4 linked regions of the Arabidopsis thaliana genome follow. The protein of the gene in region 4 interacts with the protein of the main gene of each other region in a pairwise test. Each region holds a gene or a part of one and is shown on either strand. Other genes may lie near its edges. The genes, in order: ERD2, AT1G76520, KCS1 and BTI2.

Region 1 (5,448 bases), on a different chromosome or scaffold from region 4:
TGGTTCTATTTTGTTTTTCTTATTGCCATTTTTTCGATTATTAGTGTTTTGTATGTTAAACTTGCCGATTGTTCCAATTACTATAATATAACAAAAACAAGTTTTAGCTATCGATTTTTCCAAAGTTTTACAACGAAGTTTTTATAAGTTAACATGAAGTAATAATAGTATATGTTTTAAAATTATACGTTTTTTTGTATGAAATTAAATGTTACATTACACTATTAAAGATTCCAATAATTAAAACACATGTTACAATGAGTAAATTTTATTATCAGACAATAAACATCTCTTTGCTCTAAGAAGAAACCTATGCTAGTGAAGCGTTGACTCTGGAAAGATGCAAGTGCAACGTGTCGCTGAAACATTGAAGGCGCGTGTAGAAAAATGTTAAGCTAAAGGGAAGTTCACTTTCTTTAACCAAGTTTTGCGTTTTGCAAATTACAACTAAAGAATCCACTAAAGCTAACCCAACTAAATTCAAACATTTTTCTATGTGATCAGTTTACCATCAAACTATTTCATATTTTTGCAATGTGTAGTAAAAACTTTCTTTGTTACATTATATGCTTCTTTTATAAGCAAAAATACCATATTACATTACATGTTCATTTCATTTTTGTTTGGTATTTGCGCTTACAATTTACAAAATGATTTTGTTTGATACTATTTACATTTACATGTGAAATTATTGTGTTCATCGTAAAACGTTCAAAATTTCTAAAAATTGTAAGAAATTATTGTAAATGTAAACAAAGTCGGTTTCCTATAAAACCACACGTCTGAACCACCTTAATCATCATCACAACATGAAATTACAAAAGCAGCGACTTTGTCGATTGCCGTAGTTTCATTGTAGCATAGATAATCCCGTCACGTGATGTTATCTATTTTTAACTGTTTCAATGTAGTCAGAAAAGCTATTTGTTTGATTTCAGAACTGTTTGATTAGTGGCCATTGAAAAATTCTATAATCTATAGTCAATAGTCTATACACAATTGAAAATGGTATAGTTGATTTTTTAAAATACGCCATTAAATAAAATTATATATAGAACTTCTCTATAATCGATAAAGTCGAACACTCCAGGCAACAAGCGGACCGACCACGGAGTCTAACGTAAGAGTATTATTAGTGATACTGTAGGTTTTCTTTGACTAACGATAAAGAAAAAACAAACATGTTTAATTTCTCGTGTCCTCTATATTCATGAGTCATGACGTTCATACAATTTATTCTTGTTTTAAATGACGTTCATACATCATTTTCATGGTTGTCTATTAGTTCACTAGAAAAACGAAGTCTTGAACGTTGAAGCGAAGCATTGAATATCATTTTATAATTTTATGGACTAAACTATACATTTCAATCATCTTTGCAAAAAAGAAAAAAAAAAATGAGTTAGATCATAAGGAGTCAGGACAACAGCTAGCACAAAAATCTCAAAATCCTATACTGTTTAACCCAAAACAACCGTAGAACAAATATTATTATACACCCAAAAAAAAAAACATATTTGCAATCACATTAGTTTGTAAACACTTCTATTTCGTTCCATAACCAAAAAAAAAAAAAAAAAAAAATCAACATTCAATTTTTTATTTTAAAACATGTTTGCATATGTTCATGGTATGACATTGGGTATTAATCTATCACAGAGAGCTAAAGCCCATATAAATAATAACAGAAGGCCCATATCTATTAATAACCAACTCTTAACCGGTCCATTCTAACTGTTTTTCTCAAATACAAAACACGTGGATAACACGAGGAATTAAAATTGAAGTTAAACACCACACCATGTCGCGTACGAAGCTGCCACATCACTGTTCTATTAACACGTGGCTTAATATGATGCAATATAGACCCACCGATAGCTGGCGCTTTCTAGTTTACCAAGGTGCGACGTACCAGATAACACCACCTCTCCACTTTTGAAAATTAAAACGCTCTCTTTTGGTAATTATTTAGGGAAACTTCGATAATTAATCGAATAATGAAGGACTAATTTGCAGTTTTAAGGAAATAAGTAAGCACACACGTTAGAGAAGAAAGACCGTTCCAGATTGCCACGTCATCGTCTCCTCTCAACGAGTTTCTGCAAAACCTGAAACGTGCTGCACCTTGCCTCTCTTTCTCTCTCTTCCTTCGTTTCTCTCTCGATTTGAAGAGAGAAAATTCGTTCGATTTCGTTTTCTCTTCTTCTTTTGGATTTTCCCGGAAAATTTTGGAATCGGTGAGTCTCTATCGATTACTGGTCAACCATGAATATCTTTAGATTTGCTGGCGATATGAGTCACTTGATCAGTGTCTTAATCCTTCTTCTCAAAATCTACGCGACGAAATCTTGCGCTGGTGAGTTCTCTCTCTCTCTCTCTCTTTCATGAAATGTGTTGTGTATATTTTGAAGACGAGCTCGTAGACGAAACAATCGCATTTTGCTTTGACCTTTTGTTTTCCTTTCCATAGCTTTCAAATGCAATCTTATTTGAATCCTGTTGAGGTCTATTTATCGATTTCGAGGCGAATCCGAGTTGGTAGATTGAAATTGCAAGTCAAAATAGTTGTGAAATCTCAATCTTCGAAACCACTATGGAATTTCTAAACGAGTGAGATCTCTCACCCCTAAATTGCATTAGGTTTAACGGAAAATTGCTACACGGAATGGAAAATGCTTGTAGATGCTCATGATTTTCTCATAGATTGTGCAGCTCCTAACATTGTTGCTGTTGACTTTTGGATTTTGTTGGCTAGGAATCTCTCTCAAGACTCAAGAGCTCTATGCGCTTGTGTTCTTGACTCGGTACTTGGATCTGTTTACGGATTATGTATCTCTGTACAACAGCATCATGAAGATTGTCTTCATTGCCAGCTCTTTGGCTATCGTTTGGTGTATGCGTAGGCATCCACTTGTGAGGAGGTCATACGATAAGGACCTGGACACATTTCGTCATCAGTATGTTGTGTTAGCGTGTTTTGTACTGGGACTTATCCTGAATGAAAAATTCACAGTTCAAGAGGTATTTTCATATGAATTTCACATTGCTTTTGTGTTTTTAGGTTGTAGAGACTAGGAAAGCGAATACTTGTTGTTAGAAGACATGCATATGTTGTGTAATCTTGTTTTTGGTTTATTTATTCATTTGATTCATTCGGTTCCTTCTTCTTATATCATTTGGATTTGGTAACTATCTTGGCTAGTGTAGAATAGAATATCGTCTATGTAAATGAAACTGAACATAACTCCTTCCAGAACCAATTAGGAGTCCGGCGTTTATAGTTTTATTTTTGCTTGTTTAAACGTTGTACTACCTATGTAGCCTCTCACTCGCTGATTGTTTTGAGAAACTCTTTGAATATCAAACTGTTGCATCGTGAAAGGTTTGTTTGCTTCCATTCATGGAATCTTCTGTGTCCTACCTACCTATGTTCCATAAGGTGCCCCATGGATTAGTGTCATCTGTATCTCGCTGTTACTTTTCTGGCCATTGTGTTCTTTGATTATCTTGTCATAAGAAACTGTAGTGACTCCTTATATGCACTTCACTAAGATCGTTTTCCCTTACTACCTTCATATGTATTTTTCCAGTATATGCTCTTGGTAAAGATCTGATCTTTGCAAACTGCCTTCACTCTTTAAGTATTTTTGCAGCATTGTGGCCTCTCTGTGTTGATAGCCAGAATCATTGTGCAATATGTTAATTCTGTGCATTCCAAACCATTTCAGGTGTTCTGGGCGTTTTCTATCTACTTAGAGGCAGTTGCTATCCTTCCCCAGTTGGTTCTGCTACAAAGAAGTGGGAATGTCGACAATTTGACTGGGCAATATGTTGTCTTTCTCGGGTACGTAATTCTAACCAGACATATGCGTTTGCTCACTTGATCTCCACTGGCTTCTCTGTTGGGTTTGTTTTTAGAATTGGTTTATCTTATATATATACTGTGTCTTTCACTGCTCATGCACTTGTTAACTTGATCAATGAGAATCGCTCTCCAGTGTCATTGTGGTGTTTAAAAATCAGTGCATATTTCTAAAGTCCAGACATTGTTTTCCGTTTAATGTTAATGCGTCTGGAAGCTGAGCTGAACTATATTTTTTTCTATAAAGGAAATCAGACTGCTTTACATCTTGCTATGCATTTGGTTCTGATGCATACCTTTGTGTCCAGTGCACAATATTTCAATGTGCAAAATTGAGTAAGTATTCTGTATGCACTCACATGGGCAATGATTAACATGCAGGGCGTATCGGGGACTCTATATTATCAACTGGATCTATCGCTATTTCACAGAAGATCATTTCACTAGATGGATTGGTAATGTTTCAACAAAGAAGCACTAAATGCATTTTAACCATTTGTTTTTCCTCAATGCTAATGTTTTACGTAAATCCATTTTCCAGCTTGTGTGTCTGGTCTTGTCCAAACAGCTCTCTATGCGGATTTCTTCTACTACTACTACATAAGGTAAAGTAACCTCACCAGTCTGAATAATATTCTCTTTATAGTTACTGATCATGTTACTGACTTTGGATCCTTTTTGATTTTGTTGTAGCTGGAAAACCAACACCAAACTTAAGCTTCCGGCTTGAAAAGAACCCGAATTTTTTTGCAATAGTATCAAAATCCAGGAAGTTACAGCAATGGTGACATTAGAAAAGAAAGACATGGTTAACATTTGGGTCCTCCCTCTTTCTAACAATGAGTTGAAAATTGAATGATGCAGGATTGTTGTTTAAAATGTGTTTTTTTTTTAGTCTTTAATGCACATTGTAACTTTCCCGACGATTTTAGACATTGAGAAGAGGCATCGTTTTATCAAAACTAGTCTTTATAGATAACACACAAACTCTGTTTCTTTTGTGCGAGTGTTTAGTTCAAAACTGTAGCTCAGATCAGAGCCAAGTTAACAATGTGTCTTCAAAACTTAAACCTAGTCTTCTTGATTGTGTTTCACTATCTTGGTCTTCTTCTTGTGCTCTCGTGTCTTCTTGCTTCTTAGCTCGTCTTTCTCTTCACCTTCAGAGACTTTTTCTCTACTGCGTTTCTCTTTCTTTGACTTTTTTGTTTTGACCGGAGCCTTCTCAATCTCGTCTTCATTCTCCTCATCGTCTTCACCCTCAAAGACTATTTCTCTACTGCGTTTCTCTTTCTTTGACTTCTTTCTTTTCACAGGAGCCTTCTCTGTTTCATCATCTTCCTGGTCCATGATCGTCATCTTCTCCTCTGTGGCAGCCTCAGCCACTGTGTTTGCTACAGCTGTCTCTGCTTCAACCATGAATCCAATCATTTTACAAACATACTAACAGAGGAATACAAACATAGATGCGATTTGTGAACGGCATTAGAAAACAAACAAACCTTCTCCAGAAAAGCCCGAGTCGAATACAAGACCTGTAAGATGCTGCTTCAAGAAAACCTGCAATAAAACAATGATATATAAGTAAG
Region 2 (5,274 bases), on a different chromosome or scaffold from region 4:
CGTAGGTTTCTGCTTGTCTCGATTGTTGTTGTGTTTTTATTTGTTACTAAAGATAGAGAAAGAAATATCGAAGCATTGTGCGTTCATGTTCAATATAGAGTTTTTGTTGTACCAAAAAAATATAGTGTTTGAATCTTTAATTATAGACTAGCTAGCATATAATTAACGTGATTAACTTTACAATTATGGTGATGATGATTTTCTCAGTATGTAGGTATAGTACTTGTCAAAGTGACAAATAATTGCAATTTAATGAATTGGTGTGGATCCAAAGGATAACAAATAGTATGAGCATATTCATTCGAAGCAAAATGGTACAGAATTAAGCAAAGCTTTTTGTCCAAAATTCTAATGAATTAAGGACCATTATTTTTAGGGAATAATAGTCTTTGATGCCCCACATTTCCAATAGTACAAATCAAGATTTTCAATATATGTCAAGTTTGTTATTTTCATTCACGGACATTAAAACGAGTGGAGCATTTCAATTTGACATATCTTTGTCCTTTTCTTTTTGTTACAGATATCTTTTGTTCACGTTCTTTGAATCATCATATTCATAGCTATGAGATCATAGAAATATCAAATACTGTTAATTAACCTCTTTAAAAATACATATTCACAAGTCTCTTGTGTGAGTAGAAATCCTATACAAACAAGTTTATTCATGCTCTAATAAGATAGATAAATAAGAAGATAGCTCATGACATGGCCTTCATTAGGCTTGTTGCATATACAATAAGCTTACATATAAGGAATTAAGGATGGTCTAATATCTCTTGCTTCACATGAGAAGAGTTATAGGATTCGAGTCACATAAGAGATTTTTATTGTAGTGTGTATAATATATCCCACTTCTACAATTATCCAGTCTATTGTGTATTTTTCATTAATAAATCACTAAAATTTGCACTTTGACAATATATACTTAAATATTTGTATCTCGTATATATATATATACATATTTTTAGCACTGTATGATAATTCTAATTATTCGCTAATTGTTTTTTTTTGGTAAGAATTAGTCGACTATTTTGATATTGGGGTTGTTACATTTATATCTTGCATTGAATTTTATGGACGGACACTGGTCGCAGCCTCACACACTAATTTGAATTTTCCGTTATCATTAATATTCGATCGTTTCGTTGGTACGCTTCCATCACACAATTAATTTAAGCCACCACACTATTATCTTATTCTCATTCAGTTTTGTTTCCATTTCAAATTTCTTACGACGCATATGAAAATGTACATTTTTATAACAATTCCCCTTAAAAATAGATGACAAAAAGAAAAATGTTTTTTTTAAAAAAATATATAAAATAAAATAAATAATAAATCTTCAACAATCGATGAACACTTTGCAATATCTCCACACCTTGGGCAAGAACCAGAAAAAAACATGGGGCACGTTTCGTAGTCGATGTGACGAAAGGCATGACGACGGTTACCATATAAATTCGTCTTCTCAGATAAAGCCTTATTATTCTCAATAGTGTTATACGACAATATACGAAACAAACAAAGACCCCGCTTGAGTTGAGTTTTCCAAAAATTGTGGAACTGTTTCCTCTTTCTTTTTGTACATAAACTAGGTTACAAAAAATTGGAAAATATACAAAATCAAAGGACATAAACTTACGAGATATATCATAACTCATAAGTTGTGAAAGTTGGAATTCAAAAAGGAGCTAACTATGAATCTATGATACGTTATTTTGTTGCTTATACGGAACAAAACAATTCCAAAAACAAAGAAGATGTAAAAGTCTGACCCGGATCATGCGGACACCAAGTTGTACATACAAAATATGTAGGATGAAAATATGAAATTCTCTTCCCATATGCATAGAATAATAATTTACCTTAGTTAAAAAGATTAGTTTCTAAGTTTGCCCCAAATAAAGAGATTAGTTTCTTGAAAAAAGCATTTTGTGGATAGACAAGAATTTAAATAGAATGAAGAGGCGACCATGCAAGTGTTGTACTAGGCCAAATTTTGGAGACGCTCTTTCTCTTTCATAGAGAGAGAGTGAGAAAGTTCTGATACGGCGGCTTCTCACTGTCATCTAGCTGTACCACTGACGATAAATCTCTCTCTTCCTCTAAATCGGTTAAAAAATTCATTCCCTTCTTGGATTGCTCTGTTTTCTTCGGCGGTTCTTGCAGCTCCATTGATTCTCTGTTTCCTCTGCTACAGTTAACTTATACTTGCAGATTCTCGCGTTGATAGTAAAAAGATGGTGAAGCTTTTGGAGCTGTTCATAACTTCATCAAAACCAGTCGTTGAGATTCTGTTGATAACATCAGTCGGATTTTATATGGCTCTCGATGGAGTCAATCTTCTTGGTCATGATGCTCGTAAATATCTGAACAACGTCAGTTAATTATCACTTAATTTTACTCTTTTCTTTAATAAATCTAAATGATTCAACTTTAATATGTCTCTGTTTTGTTATCATTTTCTTGATGTGTGTGTATATAGATTGTCTTCTATGTGTTTAGTCCTTCGCTTATTGGAAGCCGTTTAGCTGATAGTGTTACATACGAAAGCTTGGTCAAAATGTAAGTCAATCTCAGATTTTGCATCTTGAGTCTGTAATCTTTGCTCTTTGGTTAATGAAAATGAGGATTTGCAGGTGGTTCATGCCGGTGAATGTTCTGCTTACATTCATCATTGGTTCATTACTTGGCTGGATTGTTATTGTCATCACTAAGCCTCCTTCACACCTTCGTGGTCTCATTCTTGGTTGTTGTGCTGCTGGTAACAAACCTTAACATGAATGTTTCTGATTTCAGAATCTGTTTAACTTGTGTTTTGCTTATGACTGTGGTAATGAATGAAACAAAACAGGGAATTTGGGGAATATGCCACTGATTATAATCCCAGCTGTTTGTAAAGAAAAAGGAGGTCCCTTTGGAGATCCTGAGAGTTGCCAGAAATATGGAATGGGTTATGTTGCTCTCTCCATGGCTGTAAGTTCTTCTTCTTCTTCTTCTTTGTCTTCTTCTTCTTCAAGGTTTTGTAATCAGTATGTCTCATGACAGTACTTGGTAACGTATCAGATGGGATCTATTTACATATGGACTTATGTATACAATCTTATGCGTGTGCTATCGAACTCTCCCGTTGAAACCCCTCCCTCTGTTGAATCCAACTACGACAGCTACAAAGTTCCCCTTATTTCTTCCAAGGAAGAAGAAAACAACCAAAAGGTTTCATCACATATGCACATGATCAGTAACTATTCATTTATCAAAGTTGGTAGTGACTGTGTGTATATGACAGGCTGGGAGGTGGGAAAAAGTCAAGCGGAGATTGGTTTCACTGTCACAAAAAGTCAACCTTAAGACAATTTTTGCTCCATCAACTATTGCTGCGGTTTGTGTTTCAATGGCTCTGTTTTATACATTTGAGACGTCACTCACACTAGTGTAATCTTTCTAATTACCCTTTTTGTTCTTCTGTTTCCAGATGATTGCACTTGTGATCGGGCTCATTACTCCTTTAAGGAAGCTAATAATCGGCACGGAAGCTCCTCTCCGGGTGCTTCAAGACTCAGTAACTCTAGTGGGGTAACTGCAGCTAAAATTAGACCATTATCTTAGCATTAGCTCAACAATGAATCATCTCTTGGAAAAACGTAACTCACTCATTCGAAAGCTTCTTATGTGTCTTGTTTCTTTTGGCTGAAGAGATGGGGCAGTTCCTGCAATGACCATGATTATAGGAGGAAACCTACTCAAAGGTTTGAGGAGTTCAGGAATGAAAATGTCCAGTATTATCGGCGTCTTGGTTGCGCGTTACGTTTTACTGCCTATGAGCGGTGTTTTAATCGTAAGAGGAGCATATAAGTTGGATTTAGTTACATCAGAGCCCTTATACCAATTCGTTCTTCTTCTTCAATATGCTGTCCCACCAGCCATGAATCTAGGTTCATTGCTCTGAAACCAACTCTTTAAAAAATACAGTTACTTCTTTCAGATAAGATCACTTCATTAGTTTCACTTACTCTTGCAGGTACAATTACTCAGTTATTTGGAACTGGGGAGAGTGAATGCTCAGTGATTATGCTCTGGACTTACTCTTTGGCTTCGATTGCACTCACTGTTTGGCCAACATTCTTCATGTGGCTTGTAGCTTAGAATAGACCCCCATACTCATCATGTTACATGTATTGTTTTGTTCCATTGATTCAAGAATTGTTCTTGGACTTCCAGATGATTGGATCAAGTATAATAGAGAACATATACTTATAAGTCTTTTGATACGAACTTTGGACTTACAGTCTGTAACTTACAGATAGAAGATCAAGTCCAGCCTCATCAAGAATCTGCTATTTTGATCCTCATTGTCTTGGGATCCATCAAGAGATTGTGAGGCTTAAAATCTCTGTTATGATACCCAAATCATTCTCTCTTGAAACAGGGTAAAACCAGAGAACAATCTACTTGACTACTTGTGACTGTGGCCATGGCAGAAAGCTATTCCTTTGTTTAGTTTGGTACACCTGAGAAAAATTTCAGATTGTTACATTTGGTTTAATAGACTATTACATATCAGTCAAGTGAGTACAAATGATGAGAGAAAAGAGTGGTGACAAAAAGCTCTAATTGGTGGATTTTGTGATAAATTTCTTTACATCTGTGTCCATGTATCTCAAACCTAATCGTACTCTAAGATCAATTAATGTCTCATCACGTCATATTTGAGATTTTGATGTATAACCTTCCACATCAGGGCTAAAGTGCATGCTAGACTCCAAGATATACTATATGTAATATATAAATTTGTAGCTAGTGAAACTGTGGAAAAACAAAAATTATAGTACTGAAACATTTTAGTTTATGAAACGATTCTTCAGAAAATAGATGACAACAACAGAAGTTTTTTTAAAATCAACGTTATTGTTCTTTACCATACGGTAAACACAATGCGACATATCCACATCTTCAGCAAGAACCACAAAGTAACATGGCACGTTTCCTAGTCGCTGTGACTAAAGGCATGACGATGGTTCCCTTATAATTTGTATTCTTTTTTTCTCAGATAAAGAGTTGGTGGTTATGATACGTTGGTTTTTTCATACGGAACAAAAATAATACTTACTCTATATCTCTCCTTCACTCTTCCTCTAAAAAGGTAACTATACCATTTCATTTGATTTCTCCATAAGTTATCGTCGTTTGGTTCATTGTTTCTTTATCTCAAATCATGTAATATATGGATTAAGTTTGCAGATTCTAACTTTTGGAAGTAGAGATGAAGCT
Region 3 (4,588 bases), on a different chromosome or scaffold from region 4:
TTATTCAAAACAAATGACTACGATTTGGCAACAGAAACAATTGACAGAATTTATTTATCTGGTGATATGATGATATTGACATTTTCAATATCGAATTCGTAGTTGGATTCGGATTAATCGTGACCAAATATTTATAATTCCATATATTAGCATTAATCTTTCTTATTCGAGATTAAGAAAAAATTCGAGTAATTAAAAAAAAAAATTGTTTGAAAAACCATTAAAATCAATAATATTGTATTATATACAGTTATATACTGAAATTCAAATACAAGACCACGACAAAATGTTTACTCTAATGTTTCAATTTAATGAATCATTCGGTATTTTGAAGCATGTTAGAGCCTGGTAGTACTGTGCATGTTATACAGCCAATATCAACCTTTTTCGCTAGTTTTATGTAAGGCTATATCGTTTATTTATGTAGCAACCATTTAAATTGTTAGTCCTTTTTAAAATTATTGCAAGATGTGAGTGTGTACATTCATACATTGATGACGGACTGGTTTCTAGTTAGTTGGTATTAAGCCGACCAACATTAATTGTTGGTTTATGTCTACACATGGGTACTAGTCTACCATTTATTATCATCATTATTTCATTTATCTTGCAAATTAATACTTTGATCTGTTTATTGATTAATTCTCTCTATTGTTCATTATGCTGTACATAAACCTAAATATATGAATTATTAGCATCTGATGAACTGGATCTTTCCAATATTGAAGTTTGAGAGTTGGTATGCGTACTGTTGAAACATGTGTTTCATGCAGTAATCACGATATTATGGAAACGACGTCGCTGCCTTTTGTCTTTGTTTTCTTTTTCTCTATTATTTCCCAGTAATCACGATATTAGAAATGATTTAACTATTAAAAGCATTACATTTTACCAACAACTTTATCCCAATGAAAACAAAACAGGGACAATAAGTCCACTTTGGGACCTCAAATCCGAACATTTTATTTACCTACAAAGCTACAAGCTACAACTACCCGTCCGAGGTCTATTTTGGACACCTTGGCACAATCAATATGAAATAACTAGAAAAATACTCGAAAACTAACTAGATATGCAACTCCAAAACTAATTACTTCTTTATCAGATTTATAATATGAAATAAATTCATTATGTAAAGGGTCCCTTATATAACAAACGTCTTAACGAAGACAGCAAATTTATAAATGACAATGACTACAATACTGGAACAGCTAATAGGGATGGTATATAATGGAGAAACAAATCGAAATGTGCTGCTATTAAGAAGTCATAGTAATTCATTATCATCAATTTACCATGGCCCATATTAAGGAGTTTGTATGCATGTGGGATACACATTTATACAAAGAAATAACAAATTTGAATATTTGGGACACGCTTTCGTCTACCCTTGTTCTTGCAATTTGGACAGTGAACGCTTCTCATGAATGAGAGGTACGTTTCTCGAACACGTTCTCCCTTTAAATTTACTATTTACAACATATTATATCAACTTACCCGTCGCTGACCCAGTGCATTTGCACTACGTGCAGCCAACCTGCTTATAATATTCAATTGATATATAATTTTATAACTTGCCCTCACTCAATTTTGGATAACCTACATACACTTGCTAATAAAAACATCATGGATGTCTAAAACGTTTAAGTTTAATTATAAGGAAATATATAACAAACATGTCATATTTTGTTGTGTTGTAGTGGTATAATTAACAAGTTATGTTGTTTATCAAAAACTTCAAAAAAAAAAAAAATTAGGTTACACCAAAATAGAATGTTATGATGCCCAAATATATGTGTGAAAAAAAAGATAAACCAAATTTATGATCTACCATATGACTTATGAGATTCAGCTAGGTTTTGTTAGACTTTTGTAACTTGCATTTCGTGTGAACAAAACATGAAAAATAATCTGACTACTTAATTTAATATCAAGGTCCCATATAAGTAGTTGAGCTAATAGTATTATCTCGGAACCACCCATCATTAAATTCGAATATTATTCCATCTTTTTTTTTTTTTTGTTAAGTCATTACTATTATTAATCTTTAAAATATTTTTATCTTTCTTGCACTCTATATATCTCTCCATCCCTACTTGCCCTCATTTCACCAAAATCCTCCTAATTCACCAATTTTAGAATTCCCATTCTCATTTTCTCTCTCTTTCTATTTCTCCAAATTTGCCTAAAGATTTTACATTTTATCTTCAATCCTTCCTTGATTTACGTTTGAAATATTTCGACCCAAAACTATACTGATGGAGAGAACAAACAGCATTGAGATGGATCGAGAGAGATTAACGGCGGAGATGGCGTTTCGAGATTCATCATCGGCCGTTATAAGAATTCGAAGACGTTTGCCGGATTTATTAACGTCCGTTAAGCTCAAATACGTGAAGCTTGGACTTCACAACTCTTGCAACGTGACCACCATTCTCTTCTTCTTAATTATTCTTCCTTTAACCGGAACCGTGCTGGTTCAGCTAACCGGTCTAACGTTCGATACGTTCTCTGAGCTTTGGTCTAACCAGGCGGTTCAACTCGACACGGCGACGAGACTTACCTGCTTGGTTTTCCTCTCCTTCGTTTTGACCCTCTACGTGGCTAACCGGTCTAAACCGGTTTACCTAGTGGATTTCTCCTGCTACAAACCGGAAGACGAGCGTAAAATATCAGTAGATTCGTTCTTGACGATGACTGAGGAAAATGGATCATTCACCGATGACACGGTTCAGTTCCAGCAAAGAATCTCGAACCGGGCCGGTTTGGGAGACGAGACGTATCTGCCACGTGGCATAACTTCAACGCCCCCGAAGCTAAATATGTCAGAGGCACGTGCCGAAGCTGAAGCCGTTATGTTTGGAGCCTTAGATTCCCTCTTCGAGAAAACCGGAATTAAACCGGCCGAAGTCGGAATCTTGATAGTAAACTGCAGCTTATTCAATCCGACGCCGTCTCTATCAGCGATGATCGTGAACCATTACAAGATGAGAGAAGACATCAAAAGTTACAACCTCGGAGGAATGGGTTGCTCCGCCGGATTAATCTCAATCGATCTCGCTAACAATCTCCTCAAAGCAAACCCTAATTCTTACGCTGTCGTGGTAAGCACGGAAAACATAACCCTAAACTGGTACTTCGGAAATGACCGGTCAATGCTCCTCTGCAACTGCATCTTCCGAATGGGCGGAGCTGCGATTCTCCTCTCTAACCGCCGTCAAGACCGGAAGAAGTCAAAGTACTCGCTGGTCAACGTCGTTCGAACACATAAAGGATCAGACGACAAGAACTACAATTGCGTGTACCAGAAGGAAGACGAGAGAGGAACAATCGGTGTCTCTTTAGCTAGAGAGCTCATGTCTGTCGCCGGAGACGCTCTGAAAACAAACATCACGACTTTAGGACCGATGGTTCTTCCATTGTCAGAGCAGTTGATGTTCTTGATTTCCTTGGTCAAAAGGAAGATGTTCAAGTTAAAAGTTAAACCGTATATTCCGGATTTCAAGCTAGCTTTCGAGCATTTCTGTATTCACGCAGGAGGTAGAGCGGTTCTAGACGAAGTGCAGAAGAATCTTGATCTCAAAGATTGGCACATGGAACCTTCTAGAATGACTTTGCACAGATTTGGTAACACTTCGAGTAGCTCGCTTTGGTATGAGATGGCTTATACCGAAGCTAAGGGTCGGGTTAAAGCTGGTGACCGACTTTGGCAGATTGCGTTTGGATCGGGTTTCAAGTGTAATAGTGCGGTTTGGAAAGCGTTACGACCGGTTTCGACGGAGGAGATGACCGGTAATGCTTGGGCTGGTTCGATTGATCAATATCCGGTTAAAGTTGTGCAATGATTGGTTGAACCGGATAATCATATATGTAATTGTGTTCTTCTTGATTTTATTTTTTAATTGTTGATGTAAGTTGTCGATTGAAAATCATATAATTTAATTAATTTATGGATGTGTGTTTGGTATACGTTAGTTGATTATTCATACTTTTGGTAAACCAGAATTTGAAAATTTAACTCAAGTCAAACAAAATTCTAATCCACTATGTCTGCGTTCACACACATGAATGAATGACACACCCATAAATGATAAAGCAAACCTTGCATACTAACAAATACTATATAGTCTACGCTGGCTCCAATTAATTTATGATATACACCTTTTTATTTTTATTTTTCTGCGAATTTGTGGTGTAGATTTATTCATTCATTCAACAATTTGATTTTTTTTTGGACCAAACGTTATCCACTACTGTTCCATAGGTTTTTATTTTGAATTTTTCATCTTCTGAAGGTTTCACCATTATAAAATGTTATATTTCGACCTCATATTATAAAATGTTTTTTTTCTTCTGGTACCTTTGTAAAAGTAACGAAGAGAGTCAATTAGAGAATCTGTGATGAAAAAAAGTCAATTTAAAGAATAAAAGAATATATACAAACAATTCCATTACAATTTCTCTTGGTTCTTGAAAGTCTTGAACCATAAATTCGGTCAACAACTCGTATAACTATAACCCATATAGGTCGAGTTGGTTGAACCAGCATCTACACATAACTCGTTGGCTGCTGCATGCTGCCAACATA
Region 4 (4,579 bases):
AAAGCGGACTTCTCAGAGCAGATGTACCAAACCAAAGAAGGTGCATAAAATTCTTTAAAATTCAATATATTATTCTCAGAATGTGAATTTTGATACTCTCTCTTGTAATATAGTTTTCCAGAGCTGTTGATAGATGGACCTTATGGCGCTCCAGCGCAAGACCATTGGAAGTATGATGTGGTATTACTGGTTGGCCTTGGAATCGGCGCAACACCTTTCGTTAGCATTTTGAGAGATCTACTCAATAACATTATTAAGCAACAGGAACAAGCTGTGAGTATAACAAGCTTAAAAACCTTGTTGATGAGTAACAGAATCTCAACTAAACTTTTTTGGAGTTATGTTATATTCTCAGGAATGCATCTCAGGTAGTTGTAGTAACAGCAACATCTCGTCGGATCACAGTTTCAGTTGCTTAAACTCAGAAGCTGCGAGTCGGATTCCGCAAACTCAACGGAAGACGCTGAATACCAAGAATGCTTACTTTTACTGGGTAACACGAGAACAAGGCTCGTTCGATTGGTTCAAAGAAATCATGAACGAGATTGCTGATTCAGATAGAAAGGTAAAAACAATACACTTATTCATTTTAAATTCAAAAGATTGTATGATTTCAAGTTACTCACTGACGTATTTGTCTTGTGAACAACTACAAGGGTGTTATTGAGATGCACAACTACTTGACTAGCGTCTACGAAGAAGGAGATACTCGATCCAATCTTCTCACTATGATCCAAACGTTAAACCATGCCAAAAATGGCGTCGACATTTTTTCAGGAACCAAGGTAATGATCTTTAATGATTAGTTGATTACTTTATCACAAACAACACTCTTTTCTGATCTTGTATAACAACTTTTGGTTATTTTAGGTAAGGACACATTTTGGGAGGCCAAAATGGAAGAAAGTTTTATCAAAGATTAGCACCAAACATAGGAACGCAAGAATTGGTAACACACAGAAACATCAGTTCACTGAAATGATATTCGATATCGCGGTGTATATTTGCCTTGTCTGAAGAATGTTTTTTTGTTTGTTACAGGAGTGTTCTATTGTGGAGTTCCAAGTTTGGGGAAGGAACTTTCAACACTCTGCCATGAATTTAACCAGACGGGAATTACCAGGTTCGATTTCCACAAAGAACAGTTCTAACTGGTAAAAGGATTAATCCCCCACGATTATGGTTTTTTGAATGAATGAATCAATGTTCATGTTCGTTCTCGTATCCTACTTGTTGTGTTTTCTTTTCGTTTTGTGTATCACAAATACCAACTTTTAACCATTTCATCTAGAGTAGGACTGTTAAAAAATGTAAAAAGTCACAGTTAAAGCTTGTGAAGAAAAAAAGAGTGTAAAGGAGTAAAAATGAGAAATTCAAACAAAGGGGGATGATGGGATCATTGGGATGATTGGTTCTGTCTGTTCAATTGTTTTCAAATTTGAGCACTTATTATTGGGCCTGTCTTTGAGCTCTCTTATTATTATGGGCCGATAACTAGTTTGGCCCATTTGGTTATCAACTTGAAAATGAATGAAGAAAGCTGGGGAAAAGGGTCTTTTTAAACCCGAACTGACTCAAAAGCCTCAAAAATTTCACTGTTCCTTGGTTCTTGACCGGTTTAGAATCATGGTTTCGGTTTTGAATCATATTTGCTTTCTTGGACATGAGAAAGTAACTGGGCTTCATCATTGTTTTAGCTCATTGGGCCCATATTACGACTCGAGCTAACGCTGTCAAGTTAAATGCTTTTTCACTTTCTAGAGCATTCTTTTTTAAACACTTCTTTTAACCAAGAGACGGTTCCTACTTCTCTAATATTTTTATTTTCTAGTTTTTTGGCCAGCAGCAAAATATTATTTTAATTTAGTGTCAAGATAATTAAATTATCATTGTCTTTTGAATGCAGACCGAAAGTACATGAGTCACATAAGCAAGCGGCTACGATTCAACCACGTGTCACATGACCACCGGTTCGACCGTTTCTTTGTCCAGCCGCGTGACACCTGAACCAGAAAAGTTTAATAGCCATTTTAATAACAGAGCCGTTAATTACACGTGACTTAAAAAGCCGTTATCCTTAACAGCGTTAACATCTCGGTCCTGTGAAAACACTTTTTATATGTCCCCACGACATTTATCTTTTCCTAAGCATCGCTCTAGTTAAGGAAGCAGCAGGTTTGGATCCGAACCAACCAACGGATCAGATCAGAAACAAAATATTCAACGGCTCAGATTTATTCTAATTTTCCTCCTTTTATTGTTGGTTTTTTCATTCGACTTCGAGATCTTTCTTCTCAGAGGTGTAACGAAAACGCTAGAACAATAACTTTGATCGTTCTTCTTCTTCTCTTGAATCGGAAACAATGGCGGATGAACATAAGCATGAAGAATCTTCACCTAATTTGGATCCAGCAGTGGAGGTTGTAGAGAGGGAATCGTTGATGGAGAAGTTATCGGAGAAGATCCATCACAAAGGTGATTCGTCGTCTTCATCATCATCAGATGACGAAAACGAGAAGAAGTCTTCGTCATCGTCTCCAAAGTCTTTGAAATCGAAGGTTTATCGTTTGTTCGGAAGAGAGAGACCTGTTCATAAGGTTCTCGGCGGCGGAAAACGTATGTTTACTCTGATCCCGTTTCGATATTTGTTCTCAGTTTTTTAAAACGAATTCGTTTGCGTTGGCTTGATCTGTTTGATTTTCTCACTAGTTTAAGGGATCCGTGAAGAAGATCGTTTGAATCTACATAGAGGTTTACATTGATTTGAATTCGATTTCGATTTTGATTTCTGACTAGTTTGAGAGAATTTGTGATGGAATTGATTTTTTTTTTTTTGGAAATGTGTATAATGATCTTGTGAGATTCTTGTAGTTATTGATGATATGGTTCTTATTTCGTGATTGATAAACCCTAATTTGGTGATCTTTTTAATTGCAGCGGCAGATATATTTATGTGGAAGGACAAGAAAATGTCAGGAGGTGTATTTGGCGGTGCTACAGTGGCATGGGTGCTATTTGAATTGATGGAGTATCATCTTCTTACTCTGTTATGTCACGTTATGATCGTTGCTCTTGCTGTGTTGTTTCTATGGTCTAATGCCACTATGTTCATTCACAAGTAAGTTTTGTGGTCAATCATATGAAACAGGTCAAGGTTGTCAAGCTTATTTGACTCATCTTCGTTACCAAATTTTCATTCTCTTTCAGGTCTCCACCAAAGATTCCTGAAGTTCATATCCCTGAAGAACCTCTTCTTCAGCTTGCTTCGGGTCTTAGAATCGAAATCAACCGTGGGATCTCTTCTCTTCGTGAGATTGCGTCGGGGAGGGATATCAAGAAGTTCCTCTCTGTATGTTTAAACTGTCCTGGACTTACTCGTTACTCCTCTCTCGATGTCTCACTTAAGTTTGACACTTATTGTACTGTTTGATTGAATTAGGCTATTGCCGGATTGTGGGTTCTATCGATCTTGGGCGGCTGCTATAGTTTCTTGACATTGGCATACATAGGTAACACTTACTGTTGCTAAAAGTATTTTGCTTCTGCCTTCTCTCTTATTCTGACATTGCTGATGAACGGTTATTGATTTGGTCCAGCTCTGGTTCTGCTCTTCACTGTTCCTCTTTTCTACGACAAGTACGAAGACAAAGTAGACTCATACGGTGAGAAAGCAATGGCTGAGTTGAAGAAGCAATACGCTGTGTTGGACGCAAAGGTATTCAGCAAAATCCCAAGAGGACCGTTGAAAGACAAGAAGAAGGATTAGTTTTTTTTGGGGTTTTTGTTTTGTGTGGGTTTTCTTTGGAGTGCAATGTGCACAATGCTCTGGTTTTTATACACGTGGGTTGTGTTGTGTTGTGAATTGGTAATCTAAAAGGTTATGTGTTAGATCTCAACCCAAATTTTACTTGACAACTTTGCTTTGTTTTTGGAGTGGTTTGTGGCATTAGCACAATGATTGTAGTCGTTCTCTTGATCTATATTTTTAATGTACTGATTGATTTCTGTGTTTCTAATATGGTACGTTACTCAAATATCGTTTTTTCTCGATTATATATTTGTAGTATGTCTTGATATCAAACAAGTCAGGATGGCCGAGTGGTCTAAGGCGCCAGACTCAAGTTCTGGTCCTCGTAAGAGGGCGTGGGTTCAAACCCCACTTCTGACAATTTAGATTTTTATTTTCTCTGAGCTCATTTTTTAAGTGTTTGTTACTTTATTTGTCCAAAAAATAAAAATATAACATGTTTGTATATTTACTGGTTATATATATGTAATAAGTATGAATATTAACAAATGTCAGTATGGCCGAGTGGTCTAAGGCGCCAGACTTAAGTTCTGGTCCTCTTACGAGGGCGTGGGTTCAAACCCCACTGCTGACAATTTATATTTTTGTTAATTTTAAATTATAATTACCTTCTTTTTTCTTTCCTTTATACTATGTTTTCTCATTTAACCATGTTTTTGTTTTTTCTTAAACGGTCTTATGTTTCTCAGGTAACAATCAGCTAAATAAGTAACTAGTTAAAAGTTAAAACGCTTAAGATCAATTTGTATCAAATGGTGAATCCTGAAACAT

The links.
Region 1: the proteins of BTI2 (region 4) and ERD2 interact in a two-hybrid assay, tested with the Arabidopsis thaliana proteins (one large-scale study listed by BioGRID).
Region 2: the proteins of BTI2 (region 4) and AT1G76520 interact in a two-hybrid assay, tested with the Arabidopsis thaliana proteins (one large-scale study listed by BioGRID).
Region 3: the proteins of BTI2 (region 4) and KCS1 interact in a two-hybrid assay, tested with the Arabidopsis thaliana proteins (one large-scale study listed by BioGRID).

What each region holds. Positions count from the first base shown.
Region 1 is NC_003070.9:10,257,724-10,263,171, reverse strand, and holds ERD2 (ER lumen protein retaining receptor family protein), read left to right. Parts: upstream 1-1,939; 5' UTR 1,940-2,265; coding exon 2,266-2,356; intron 2,357-2,363; exon of another isoform or gene 2,364-2,610; intron 2,611-2,755; coding exon 2,756-3,021; intron 3,022-3,728; coding exon 3,729-3,844; intron 3,845-4,243; coding exon 4,244-4,317; intron 4,318-4,403; coding exon 4,404-4,467; intron 4,468-4,555; coding exon 4,556-4,592; 3' UTR 4,593-4,924; downstream 4,925-5,448. Other genes in the region: AT1G29320 (Transducin/WD40 repeat-like superfamily protein), read right to left, coding at 4,934-5,268, 5,362-5,419. UniProt on the Arabidopsis thaliana protein: Required for the retention of luminal endoplasmic reticulum proteins. Determines the specificity of the luminal ER protein retention system. Also required for normal vesicular traffic through the Golgi. This receptor recognizes H-D-E-L.
Region 2 is NC_003070.9:28,713,141-28,718,414, forward strand, and holds AT1G76520 (Auxin efflux carrier family protein), read left to right. Parts: upstream 1-1,624; 5' UTR 1,625-2,243; coding exon 2,244-2,381; intron 2,382-2,488; coding exon 2,489-2,568; intron 2,569-2,642; coding exon 2,643-2,767; intron 2,768-2,857; coding exon 2,858-2,979; intron 2,980-3,069; coding exon 3,070-3,219; intron 3,220-3,292; coding exon 3,293-3,385; intron 3,386-3,478; coding exon 3,479-3,579; intron 3,580-3,699; coding exon 3,700-3,938; intron 3,939-4,024; coding exon 4,025-4,149; 3' UTR 4,150-4,770; downstream 4,771-5,274. Other genes in the region: AT1G76530 (Auxin efflux carrier family protein), read left to right, coding at 5,267-5,274. UniProt on the Arabidopsis thaliana protein: Involved in cellular auxin homeostasis by regulating auxin metabolism. Regulates intracellular auxin accumulation at the endoplasmic reticulum and thus auxin availability for nuclear auxin signaling.
Region 3 is NC_003070.9:56,649-61,236, reverse strand, and holds KCS1 (3-ketoacyl-CoA synthase 1), read left to right. Parts: upstream 1-2,021; 5' UTR 2,022-2,258; coding exon 2,259-3,845; 3' UTR 3,846-4,073; downstream 4,074-4,588.
Region 4 is NC_003075.7:6,837,363-6,841,941, reverse strand, and holds BTI2 (VIRB2-interacting protein 2), read left to right. Parts: upstream 1-1,905; 5' UTR 1,906-2,363; coding exon 2,364-2,616; intron 2,617-2,937; coding exon 2,938-3,118; intron 3,119-3,207; coding exon 3,208-3,349; intron 3,350-3,439; coding exon 3,440-3,509; intron 3,510-3,596; coding exon 3,597-3,766; 3' UTR 3,767-4,031; downstream 4,032-4,579. Other genes in the region: AT4G11230 (Riboflavin synthase-like superfamily protein), read left to right, coding at 1-40, 114-273, 356-565, 657-785, 871-949, 1,042-1,151.